Coturnix japonica: one gene and its partners. The protein of the gene in region 1 interacts with the protein of each later gene in a pairwise test. Links are inferred from orthologs where the notes say so. Each region holds a gene or a part of one and is shown in the gene's direction. Other genes may lie near its edges.

Region 1 (3,607 bases):
TATATATATATATATATATATAAAAAAATTAAATCCTGATGATTTGTAAACTGAGAACTATTCAGTAAGACTTCCCCGTGGTTTCTATATGCTTTCCATATTTGTGTGGCTGTTTAATGAGGAAAATAAATTCTGCCTCTGTAAGTATAGAAACACATACTGAATTAGACACTAGAGTTGTTGGACTGTAAGAACTAAAACAGAATTTTCTGATAATAATGGTGGGGGTTAAGAAATGTAAGAATTTCAGATTTCCTGGATGTAAATCTCATTTGTAACATATTTCATGTATCGTGCTTAAAAAAAAAAAAAAGCAAAAAAAAACAAAAAAAGCTGATGTCTCAATTCTTTTATTAATGTATCAGTAAAGAAATGTGTTGTTTTAAATTGCTTACAGTACCTTGCAAGCAGAAAATACAGCATCACAGAACTACTAGAGGAATTAATAATGAAATATTTGTCTGATGAGCTTTATGAGAGAAAAAGAATTCATGCTGAAGAAACTGCTGAACACTCAAAGTAAGCTTTATGCCTTCTATCTAGAAAATCTGAGAAATGAGAATGGTTTTTGACCTAGACAGGCTTGAGCAGAGGGCCCAGCTGAACATCATGAGATTGGATAGAACCAAATGCAAGGTCTTGCACCTGAGTTGTGGCATCCCCTGCTATCAGTACAAGCTGGGGCTGAAAGGACAGAGAAAAGCTGTACTGAAAAGCTCCTGGGGGTATTCACTTCTAATGGAAGAATTTCTAGATATGTTTCTTTTAATAGTTATTCCTAGATTCTGCTTAGTTTTTTTTTTTTTTTCAACTAGTAGACCTCGCTGAAACATTGCAAGGGTAAAAACCATAGCTTGGGTTGCGTCATTTAACTTAATCTAAATGGTGAGCTGGTTGCTGTGCATTTGTTAGTTGATGTATATGGCATCAACTAAACCAGAAAGGAAGAAAACAAGAAATGCTCTTGCTCCCACGACAAGTTCTATATTCACTAACTAGATATTTCAGCTCGCTATCCATTACGTATTCAACTCAGTACATAAGTGTTCAGTCACTGTGTTCTTACTGTTAAATGAAATTATTATAATGTAGTTATTATTGGAGTTTGTAACAAGTGTTTTATGACTTTAAATACATACTGTTAAAAAAAAAAAAAAGTATTGGCATTGCTCTGTAATTATGTTTTAAGTCTTGTATTCTTTTGTCATTCTTTTGAAGCTTGACCAAGAATGTTCCAATGTTTGTTTGCACTATGGCATATCCTACTGTGCCTTGCCCTCTACATGTGTTTGAGCCAAGATATCGACTAATGATTCGGAGAAGTATGGAAACTGGGACTAAACAGTTTGGGATGTGTATAAGTGATTCTCAACATGGGTAGGTTTTACATTCTAATAGTAAGCTTCTTTTCTGCCTTTTTTAAATTAAACCAGCTGTCATCATAGTACTGTATAATTACATTACTGATAAAGTCTCTTTTCTAGTTTTGCAGATTATGGTTGCATGCTGCAGATTAGGAACGTTCACTTTCTGCCTGATGGACGGTCTGTTGTTGATACAGTTGGTGGAAAGAGATTTCGAGTTCTACAGAGAGGGATGAAAGATGGCTATTGCACCGCAGACATAGAGTATTTGGAAGATGTTAAGGTATCCAGAATGTTGTCCAATGCTTCTGCTTTTAGCTGCTATCTTAAGACTTTCTTTGTTTGTTTTGAGGGCTCTGTCAAATTTTTAGGTCCATAGAAACGTGGAGGATACAATGTCGGTATAAGGAAGAAATGGAAGATAACCTTTTTTAATTGTTATTATTAAATAAGAAGGAAATATTTTGCTTTTCATTTGAACAGTAGTTTGTGAAGCTGTAACTCTTAAGTATCGGAGGATTTCTTTACAATTCAGCCACTAGCAACCATGGCTTAGGAGAATGCAAAAACTTAACTAAATAGAGTTGTCTTTTTTTATGTTAGCTCAAAAACTATGGCAATTTTCTTCATCTGTAATGGTGTTTTCATAATGTTCCTTGCTAGGCTGCTGATGAAGAAGAGCTGAAGAAACTGAGAGAGCTTCACAACTTTGTTTACAGTCAGGCCTGCAATTGGTTCCAAAACTTAAGAAACAAATTCCGCACTCAAATTCTTCAGCACTTCGGGCCAATGCCTGACAGGGAGGAAAATATACAGGTGAGACATCACTTAGTATCAAATATCAGGTGACTGTTTTTTACCGGGGGAGGGTAGGTGTGGAAAGCCAAAATCCAATTGTTAAAAAGCTGCTAAACATTAAAGAGAAAATGCTTTTTTTTTCCCTCAAATTAAAGGGAAGCAGGACTTTATCTTTTCTTACAGAGAGCAACAAAAGACAGCTGGCAGTTCTCTTCTGCAATAAAGGATGATAGGCTATTTTATAAATAGTGTACTGATAATACTTTCAGTTACAGAAATGTTCTGAACTGTTGGTTTGTGCAAAGTTGTTAGAATTCAAATGGAGAAAAATAGGAAGTGTTTCAGTATTTTCTTTCCTGTGATGTGTGTAGGCAGTAATCTGGGACAGAGGTAATCACAAATAACACTTTCCTCCTTTTGGAGCTAGTGCTGTAAATTGCTGCAGATGCTAGAATTTGGCAAATATTTATGTTAATTTTATGGAACTGGCTTCAGCCATCTGTTTCAATGGTTATTGTAAACAATTGAGGAAGATCAGAGAGATCCTCAAGGAGTGGGGTGGCTGGAAAAAGTTATCTCCTATCTACTACATATTTTTATGAGACCGTTACTGATCTTGGAAGGCTGTAAATACATTGGAGGGCTTTCAGAAATGATCTTAGAACATTTCAATTAAAGACTGGTTTAAAACAACATACGTTAGCAAAGAGGAGTAAGTGCACTCAAACAGAATGACTAGCTCGGCAGCAAGACTGAAGGTATGTGCCTAAGACTTAGACCATTAAGTGTCAACTGTGTGATGAAGGGAGGAAATTTCATTCAGGGATGTACCATTGCCAAGGCTGTTCTTGCAAGTATGTGAGGTAACTGAGGTATTTCTGCACTGCAGTGATTCATCCTCCACTGAGAACTATTATGTCCTGGGCACGATGTCTCAGGCTCCATGTAGAGAATGAAATAAAGCATAGGGAAAAGCTGCAAAGTGTTTTATAAAGTTAGAAGAAACAAGCTAAGCAGTCCTGCTCTGTCTAAAGATAACAAGGTGCAAGTGGAATGCAGTAGTAATAGAGAGTCCCTCAGACGCACCAAAAGATATATGCAATCAGTGTTGGGCATCAAGAACATTCAAACCTGAAGAGTAATGTGACAGATATGAAGTTAGTTTGCATCAGGGAGGTTTACTAGGTGACTGTCCTATACTTGGCCATCCTTTCCTAAAGAAATTGAGATGCCTGCGTTGTCTTGAGAACAATCGATTGCTTTATCAAATGTAGCTTAAGTGCATTTTATTTATAGACTTCTGAGGCAAAGAGGGATCAGAATAGATCAATTCAGAACCCTCTTGGTCTTACAGATCTGTAATTCTCTGGTCGATATCAAAATTCAAACCAGCGCTTGTCTTTGACTTGCTTGTCTTTTGATGTCTTCACTGTGTTAGTCAGCAT
Region 2 (4,396 bases), on another chromosome or scaffold:
GCTGGGAGACCTCTGTGCCATAGCCAAGGCTGCTGCCTCAGCTTCCAACCTTGAATCAAGTTCGAATAGAACACAGATGCTCTCCAGGCTTCAAACTCTTGAATACAAAACCAAGAGCTTGTGAATCCTGGCAGCAGAGCAGACTGACACACTTCGTCCCTCAACCTTGCAACACGCTGAGGTGCTGCCATTAAGATAAGAAGGATAAAGCAGCATTATCAGATTGTTGTGGGATTGAACCTGCTGCGGCAGGTGTCCGTGGGGATGAGCTCAGTGTAACACAAACCCCTGGGGGCTGGGGAAGGCACAGCCAGCAGACAGCCCAGCTCTGCCTTCTGCCAAGGTTTTGCAATAGGGGGAAGAAATGCATCATTGCCCTCCTCCTCCCACGCCTCAGCAGTCGGCGTATCCCCTACAGCAACAGCACTGGGATGGCCACGTCTGCACTGAGCTCCTTCTCTCGTTACCACCTGTAAGCATTCCCTGATAAAAAACACTAAACGCTCACTTCAAAGTGGGGGACACAAGTCACAATAAGACACACTGCAGTGCCATGTTCACATGAGGGCTCCTCATAGAGTCACAGCATGGCCTGGCTTGCAAAGGCTCACAGTGCTCATCCAGTCCCAACCCCCTGCTATGTGCAGGGTCACCAACCAACAGACCAGGCTGCCCAGAGCCACATCCAGCCTGGCCTTGAATGGCTGCAGGGATGGGGCATCCGCAGCCTCCTTGTTCCATTTAATGCCTACAGGGATGGGGCACCCACAGCCTCCTTGTTCCAGTGCCATCACTATCCTCTGGGTGAAAACTCATCTCCACACCCAGCAGCACCGCAGCTGTGGAGTGAGGGGAGAAGCCGTGAGGTCTGAGGCACAGGGTGATGGCCGGGATCCTTCAGCCACCAAACAGAGCTGTGTTATTGCACCCCTATGGCCCCCTATGGCCCCCCATGGTCCCCTATGGCCCCCTATGATCCCCTATGGTCCCCATATGCGGCCTCCCCTATGATTCCCCTATGGATCCCCTATGGCCCCCTATGGTCCCCTATGATCCCCTATGGTCCCCTATGGCTCCCATTATGGGCCCCCTATGGTCCACCTATGGGGCCCCCTATGGTCCCCTATGGCCCCCTATGGCCCCATGGTCCCCTATGGCCCCCTATGATCCCCTATGGTCCCTTATGGCCCCCCATGGTCCCCTATGGCCCCCCTATGGCCCCCTATGATCCCCTATGGTCCCCTATGGCCCCCCTATGGCCCCCTCTGGTCCCCCCTGTGGTCCCTTATGGTCCCCTATGGCCCCCTATGGCCGCCTATGGTCTCCCATGGTCCCCAATAGCCCCCACTGTTCCACTCGGTGTCCTCACTTGGACCAATCACATCTCGGAGCGCAGCACAAGCTCCGCCCACTCACACCAAGCCCCTCCCATTATGGGCGGGGCATACGTGCCCTCAGTGCGCATGCGCGTGCCCGTAGCCCTATATAAGGGCGTCCGCAGCGCGCTGGGCCGCAGTTCGCCTTCCGCCCGCCGTGAGGTGACAGCTGCGTGACGTCACTTCCGTCCGGCTGTAGCTGCGGCAGCGAGGAGGAGGAAGGCAGGATGGAGGCGGTGGTTCGGCGCTGCCCGTTCCTGGCCCGGGTGTCTCAGGCCTTCCTGCAGAAAGCCGGCCCTTCCCTGCTCATCTACGCCCAGCACTGCCCTAAAATGATGGAGGCGGTCCCACGAGGCCTCGCTACCTCCGCAGCCCGCGGGCAGCAGGCGGAGGAGACCCCTGAGGCCCAGCCGGGTGAGTAGGCCCCGCTGTGCTGTGTGCATTAGCTCAGTGTCGCTTAATGCTTTGAAACCCAGCGGTCATTGAGTGGGGGTGACTCTGCTGTGGGCACAGCTGGGTTGGGGCCAAAGCCTGAGGCTGCTATGGGCTCATATGGGGCTGTATCACACCCTGGGGAGCCTCTCCTGGTGCTGAGGGTTGGGGTGAAGTGTTTGGAGTAGGAATCTCCCTCTTAAAGGTAAGTGAGGGATTTCAACCTTAGAAGGGTACAGTGCAGGGTTTAGCATCCAAAGTCAGCCCCTCCTTGGGTATCATTAGCATTTCTTATGTAAATAACACATGAATGCCCAGTTAAGTCACTCTGAATGACTTGTGCTATGTGAGAAGTATGCAGAAAAGCTGAAGTAGCTATTAAAATGATAAACCCGAATTGCTTTCCTTTCTCTCTGCCCTCCCCAGAGGCCAAAAAAACCCAGCAGAACACAGATGGGTCACAGCCTCCTGCTGGCCACCCACCTGCTGCTGCTGCTGGTCAGAACTCTGCCACTAAATGCCCGTTCCTGGCAGCTCAGATGAATCACAAGAGCAGCAATGTCTTCTGCAAAGCCAGCTTGGAACTGCAGGAGGATGTGAAGGAAATGCAGGTGGACAGGAAAGGTATGTATGGTATGCATTGGTTCCTTCTGAGAGCCTTTGGTACTTGATTTTCTTCTGCCCCATGCCAAGTGTAGCAGTCATTGAATACCTTATGTAGATAAGGTTATGGCAAATAGCAATAGAAAGTTGTAGAATGCAGGTATTAATGGTGTGCCTGCAGTATTGTGCAGTCATTGCCATGGGTGATCATCATTCAGAAGTCCTGTATGCAGTAGTTTGATACCCTGGTTCAAAGTGTGTGAAGTGGTTCTTTTTTACCCTAAGCAGGCTGCTGGGACAAGAGAGCTTTACCACAGTGCTGTTATAGACGAGGGTGGTAGGTACATAGAGAAGAAACAGGGTCAGGATACTGCTTTACAAATCTAAGCTTGAAAGCAAGTGAGCAGCAGCTCTTTATTCTGTAGAACTGAAGGGTGTTGGCTGACTTGCAATCCTGGTGCAGAAATGCTGTCCTTCAAGGAAGAAACTTTTCACCAATGTCAATAAAACCTTGCCATACACCTCCAAAAGGAAGCCTGTTTTCTCCTTTTTAGTTCTGGAGGTGGAAAGGAAGCTGCCAGTTAGAACTCTGCCTTCAGTTAGCTATGTACCAGTTTGTTCAGATGAGTGCTGTAGCTCTGTAGGATGGGGCTCTGAGTCATGATGTGAACCAAATGTGTTGTAAGGCAATACATGTGGTGGTGTGGTTGCGTTGTATGGGACAAAAAGGGAAACAAACCTTTCTCATCCAAATGACTGACCAGTGCAATGGCTTAATTTGGCAGGGGTAGATCTAGGCGCATGCTTTCTAAAGAATGAGGAGTTAGTTAAAAGTGTTTACCTCTCTAAATTCAACCTAAACACCTCTATTTCAAACTGATTAGCTCACTGTAATCCATTATGATGTCTGTAGGTAAAGAATTTGCCAAAATACCAACTAATTCCGTGGTGAGGAACACTGAGGCTGAGGGAGAAGAGCAGAGTGGCTTGCTCAAGAAGTTTAAGGATATTATGCTGAAGCAAAGGCCTGAAAGTGTGTCTCATCTGCTTCAGGATAACTTGCCCAAATGTAAGACTATCTGGCAATACCCTCTCAGGTCTGCTCCCTTGTGATTACCTTTTTCCCCTGTGTGCTGAAGTCTTTTTGTTTCATTTCAGCTGTATCCACCTTCCAGTATGATCAGTTCTTTGAGAAAAAGATAGATGAAAAGAAGAAGGATCATACCTACAGAGTGTTCAAAACGGTGAACCGAAAGGCACAGATCTTTCCCATGGCAGATGACTACTCTGACTCCCTGATCACCAAGAAGGAGGTGTCTGTCTGGTGCAGCAATGATTACCTGGGCATGAGTCGTCACCCTCGTGTGTGCGGAGCAGTGATGTGAGTAGGGCTGCATTCTTAAGAGATGCATTCAGTTTAGGGGTTGCTCTGCAGCAGCTTCTCTAGGCAGACTTCTGAAGAATTGATTGCGTTATGCTACATAAGCTGCTTCTGATGGTATTCTTGGTATAATTAAGCTTATGCTCCACTCTTCAGCTAGTGCAGGTAACTTCATATTTGGTGTCAGGGCTGCAGAATTTACTTGTCAGTCCTTGCCCTTCATTTCCTCTGAAACCCCAACCACTACCAGTTAGACTGGATGGTGTGTTGCAACTATTCCCAGTAACTGATTCCTTAGTTCAGTGAAACCCTGAGTTATGCAGATTGTTCGAAGACCTTTAAAGCTAACAGCAGCTTTTTGCAGTCCTTCCCTTTTAAGATGACTTAAGGGTCACTGCTGAAGGTACTTCAGTACATATTAATCTCTGTAACAGTTGAATGTTAGTATCACTGATGTATCTTTTTGGGCCCTTTGTAGGGATACACTGAAACAACATGGTGCTGGAGCAGGAGGCACAAGAAATATTTCAGGAACAAGCAAATTTCACGTTGACTTGGAAAAAGAACTGGCTGATCTTCATGGAAAAGATGCAGCCTTGTTGTT
Region 3 (4,275 bases), on another chromosome or scaffold:
TATTCACTTAAATGAAGTAATTACTGCCTTACTGTGACTTAGAGGAAATGTGGCTGTAAGGATAGGCAATAGCAGATATAACGGCTTTAAACCAGTTTAGTATCACCCACAAAAGGTAGAGGTCACAGTCAGATAATACAGGAGTTGCTTACCCAGTTTTCTCTCAGAGTAATGAGCCACGTGAGGTCAAAGCTTATACTGGACTTAATGTTTTGTATTCAAGATGAGATTAGAAGTAAATACGTTATTATGAAGTAATTAATAGGAAGCGAAGAGCCAGATAAGCAAAATGGAGGGGGTTTGGCACAACTCCGTGGGATATTGAGCTTAACTGCGTTTTCATTTCCAAAAGCTGTGAAGAGAAATTCACATCCCTTTTATTTCCTTCCAACTCTCACAAGTTGTGAGCTGCAAACAGGCCTCTATCCTGACCCAAAGCTGCTGCACTAAGAATGGAAATAAAACTGAACTTGCAGTGAAATAGTTTTGTATTTCTCTCTCTTCCCCCAACTCGCTGCACAAAAAGCTGTTAATGTAACAGACAACATTCAGCCTTTACAGTAACAGTTACACAATTTCACTTCCTTCTGAAGTTTAACTGTTGCTTGAATGGGATCTAACAGCACAGATGATGCAGCAGACCTCAAGAACATCCAAGCAGGTGTTTGAATGTGATACGGGATATATGTGTCTGTATAAATGGAGAATGGTTTGTAACTGCTACGTTGTCAATTGATGTTATGTGTATCACAGGTTTTCTTTCCGGTATCTTTGGAATCCATAGCGGTATTAAATACACCCATGGATATGAAGCTTTAGATCCGTTCTTGGGTTGTGGTTTGTTTCAGCTCAGTGGGTACTTGTGATTCTCAGCACTGAACATGGAGGCTGTTGTGCTTACAGTGGACTGAAGGTCCATCTGTCAGGTTTGTATTGCTCTGGAAATGGCAGAAATTACCATCATGTCACTTAGTGACACCACAGGGTTTAACCTTGTGATTTAAATTGTGTTTTTAACCATAAACTCGTGATTTAAATTGTGTTTTTAACCATTAAGAACGATAAAATATTCCTAAATCACTCAGTGCTCGCAGTGTCCCTTCCTGCCATATAGGCCTGACCCTGCTCTGGTGGTTGCAGTCCCGGTTGAGCTGTGCCCGCGGTGCACGCTGGGAGTTGTAGTCCCACACACACAGCCGACCTGCAGCTGTGCCGCGAGGCACGCCGGGACTTGTAGTCGCCCTAAAGGAGGCGGTGCTCCCGTCGTCCCGCGCTCCCATTGGCCGAAAGCGCGGAAAGGGGCGTTTCCTTTGGGGCTTTGAGCGCTTCCGATTGGCTGCCCGCCTCCCCCGCCTCCCGCCTCGGTGGCGTCACTTCCTCCCCGGCCGGAGCTGGCCCCGCTCATTCTCTTTAGTGTTTGCCCTGTACCCGCCGCTCCCTCCGCCGTCGCCCCCCGGCCCCCCCCGGGACCCGGCCCATGGACTGAGCCGCCCGCTGGCCCGCCCCGCAGCCGGCCCGGGAGCCGCAGCCCAGGCAGCCAGGTGAGGGGGAGGCGGCCCGGGCTCCCCCCGGTAGCGGGGCGGGGGGTGGCGGCGGGGCCTAGCGAGGCCCTGGGGAGGGGCCCGGCTCCGCTGTCCCCCCGCCCCGCTCCGGGCCCTGCCCAGCTGAGGGGGGAACGGGCAGGTGGCGGGGGGGGCCGCCCCAAAGAGCCGCAACGGGAGCGGCCCCTGCCCTGCCCGCCGATAACAACGGGGGGATCCCGGTAGCACCCACCGGGAGGTGACAGCGGGCGGAACGGCGCCTGCCCTCGGCCCGGCCCTGTCCCGTTTCAGCGTGTGCGGACGATGGTGACCGCCCTCGGAGCGGGGCTGTGTGAGCCGGGGGCTCTCGGGGTGCTGCTCCTCAGGAGCCGCCCGACCCCTCCGGTTGGTGTCAGCACAGCAGCCCGCAGCCTTCACCCCGCGGACATCGCGGCGCTCACCCCTTGGAGGCGGTGGGCAGTGCTGCTTTGCTGCCCGCGGGCCCCGTGCTCTCCTATGGCTGCCCCCCGGTCCCGGTCGGTTGCAGTGATGATGTTTCCCCGTTCCTTGCTCTCGTCACGTAGTTTCTCAGGAGCCGTGGTAGCAACAAGTTCTTGTCGCATCCTTATTGCTCTCTGCCCCGTTTGTGCTCTGTGTGGGGTGGTGCTGTCGCTGGGAGCAGTGACAGCCGCTTCTCGTCGATCTGTATTTTGGGGTGGTTTTTTTTGGGTCCATTTTCTGACAGGTTAAAGGCAAACCTGGAAGAACGTCATTGGGAATTGATAGGCAGCGAGGTGTATCAATAGCAGTGAAATGAGATACCTGCATGGAAGGCCCCTGCCTGCTTTTAGGGCAGTATATTTAAAGAAGTTCTTAAATCCTACCGATGACACACGACCTCAGTGCGCAGCTGCTCCGTCCATGCTGACAGATCATTACTTTCTAAAAACCTTTTCACAGTGAGTTTTGACGACACAGCGATGGCTGTGATGGAGCAGAGCGTCCCTGATTTGTCCATTTATCATCTTGCAATGAGATATCGTGGTACCAAGCAACAAATCTGTGTGCTCAGACTGCTCTGGAGGTGGTAGCTGTCATAACTTAAGCAGATGACCATCACATCCTGGTGAAAGCTTTAGGATTAAATAGTTACAATTGTTTCTGCACGTACCTTTTTCTGATATTGGCTCAGAATTTCATTTCAAAGCTGCTCTGAAGTGTTTTATCACAGAATCATAGGACGGCCTGGGTTCAAAAGGACCACAATGATCATTTAGTTTCACCCCCCCCTGCTGTGTGCAGGGTTGCCAACCACCAGAGCAGGTGAGATAACAATTCTTTGTGATTACTTTAAGTAGACTCTTTCAGCAGTGATTTGTTCTGAGGACAACACGAACTTTCACAAGTGTTTAACATTGTGCTGTCTGGAATCCTTGCTGGGGTTCCTTATTGTGTGAGAGTTCTTGGAGATGTGGCTGGAGCCACGGAGCAGATCTGTGTGTGGTTACCATGTGAGCTGTAATTAGTAACTGTGGCTCTCTGACCTGTCGTACTTCTGGGAGCAGCAAGCAAATATGAAGTGCAGCACCCAGCTGGAAGCAGCCATGTGAGTGAGCGTTCATCTTTGTTGGTGATCACCTCATCACCTTCTAGTTGATTCTCTTGCACTGTTTGGAGCTGTCTGGTTTATGTGCACATCTGTCAGCTCCCTTCTGCTCCTTCAGGTTTTACTTTCAAGTCGTAGCTCTTCATCAGCTTTCTCTAATTCATGACCCGTTCCATTGCTTCTGAACTCTCGTGTCTTATGGAGTTTTATCTTAGAAAGAACAGCAGCTTTCTCTTCAACGAGTGCTGGTTTTGAGATGGTCCTACCCAGATGCTATAGAACAAGATTTGTTGAAGATGAAGGCGCTGCTCAGCTGTGTTTTACGTGCTGTGTAAATAGCCTCGGGTCTATAAAGTTTGAAGTATTGTTTATCTTTATTGGTAGAGTGTATTTATTTACAGTTCAGTTGTAAATGACCAAGTGTTGTTGATGCTGTTACAGAAGCCAAGTGCTTTAGGATTTCATGCTATATACACAGAGCTACTGCTGTGCATTTTTGAGATCTATGTTAGGAAATGAACCATCTCAGCAAACCTGTTGGAATTTGTGGAGATGTGTGTTGCCCCCAAGTGAGTATGCAACAAAAGAAGGAGGTTCTGCCACCATATCTGAGTTATTTAAAGTTCCTTTAGAAAAGGCTGGAGGAATGGAGTTGTTCTGAAGGGTATTTTGCCCAGCAGTGATGGATGCACAGCAGCCTTCCTCAGTCTGAAGCAACGGGTGGCAGCGTGGCTGGACCAGTGGCTGCTCTGCTGTAGGTGACCGTAGGTGTGTGCTGGGCTGGGCTGCCCCAGTCAGAGAGTGCAGTGCCAGAGGGGGAGGCAGTGAGTGCTGTGTATCCCATGGGTCATTGTTTTGGTTGTCTGGATCCCACCTGGGTACTTGCATCTCTTGGTAGAGTTCAGGCTTGGGCTTTTTTTGGTCTCTGTTGAGTGGATGCATTTCAGGGAACCGTCCTGCTTGGTGAACAACCTGTCAGTAATGAGGAAAATGAATCACCTTTGCTCTGCAACTGAAGGGGCAGCAGCTGTTCAGGTGCCTTGTGTTGTGAAACATCCCATTTCAGAAGGAGTTTTTTTGTTTAGATCCTTGTTTTCTGTAACAAAACTCTTTCTTGGTTATTGTCTATGACACAATTTTTAGCTGCTC

The links.
Region 2: the proteins of LONRF1 (region 1) and ALAS1 interact in binary tests that used the Homo sapiens proteins (3 or more experiments, as listed by UniProt). The two-hybrid records come from large-scale screens. The link is inferred for Coturnix japonica from reciprocal best matches to the Homo sapiens genes LONRF1 and ALAS1.
Region 3: the proteins of LONRF1 (region 1) and STAU1 interact in binary tests that used the Homo sapiens proteins (3 or more experiments, as listed by UniProt). The two-hybrid records come from large-scale screens. The link is inferred for Coturnix japonica from reciprocal best matches to the Homo sapiens genes LONRF1 and STAU1.

What each region holds. Positions count from the first base shown.
Region 1 is NC_029519.1:58,374,317-58,377,923, forward strand, and holds part of LONRF1 (LON peptidase N-terminal domain and RING finger protein 1), read left to right. Parts: intron 1-397; coding exon 398-519; intron 520-1,218; coding exon 1,219-1,377; intron 1,378-1,484; coding exon 1,485-1,647; intron 1,648-2,027; coding exon 2,028-2,180; intron 2,181-3,607.
Region 2 is NC_029527.1:1,772,096-1,776,491, forward strand, and holds the start of ALAS1 (5-aminolevulinate synthase, nonspecific, mitochondrial), read left to right. Parts: upstream 1-1,503; 5' UTR 1,504-1,603; coding exon 1,604-1,790; intron 1,791-2,234; coding exon 2,235-2,432; intron 2,433-3,324; coding exon 3,325-3,480; intron 3,481-3,569; coding exon 3,570-3,792; intron 3,793-4,270; coding exon 4,271-4,396.
Region 3 is NC_029535.1:5,664,279-5,668,553, forward strand, and holds the start of STAU1 (double-stranded RNA-binding protein Staufen homolog 1), read left to right. Parts: upstream 1-1,382; 5' UTR 1,383-1,541; intron 1,542-4,275. UniProt on the Homo sapiens protein: Binds double-stranded RNA (regardless of the sequence) and tubulin.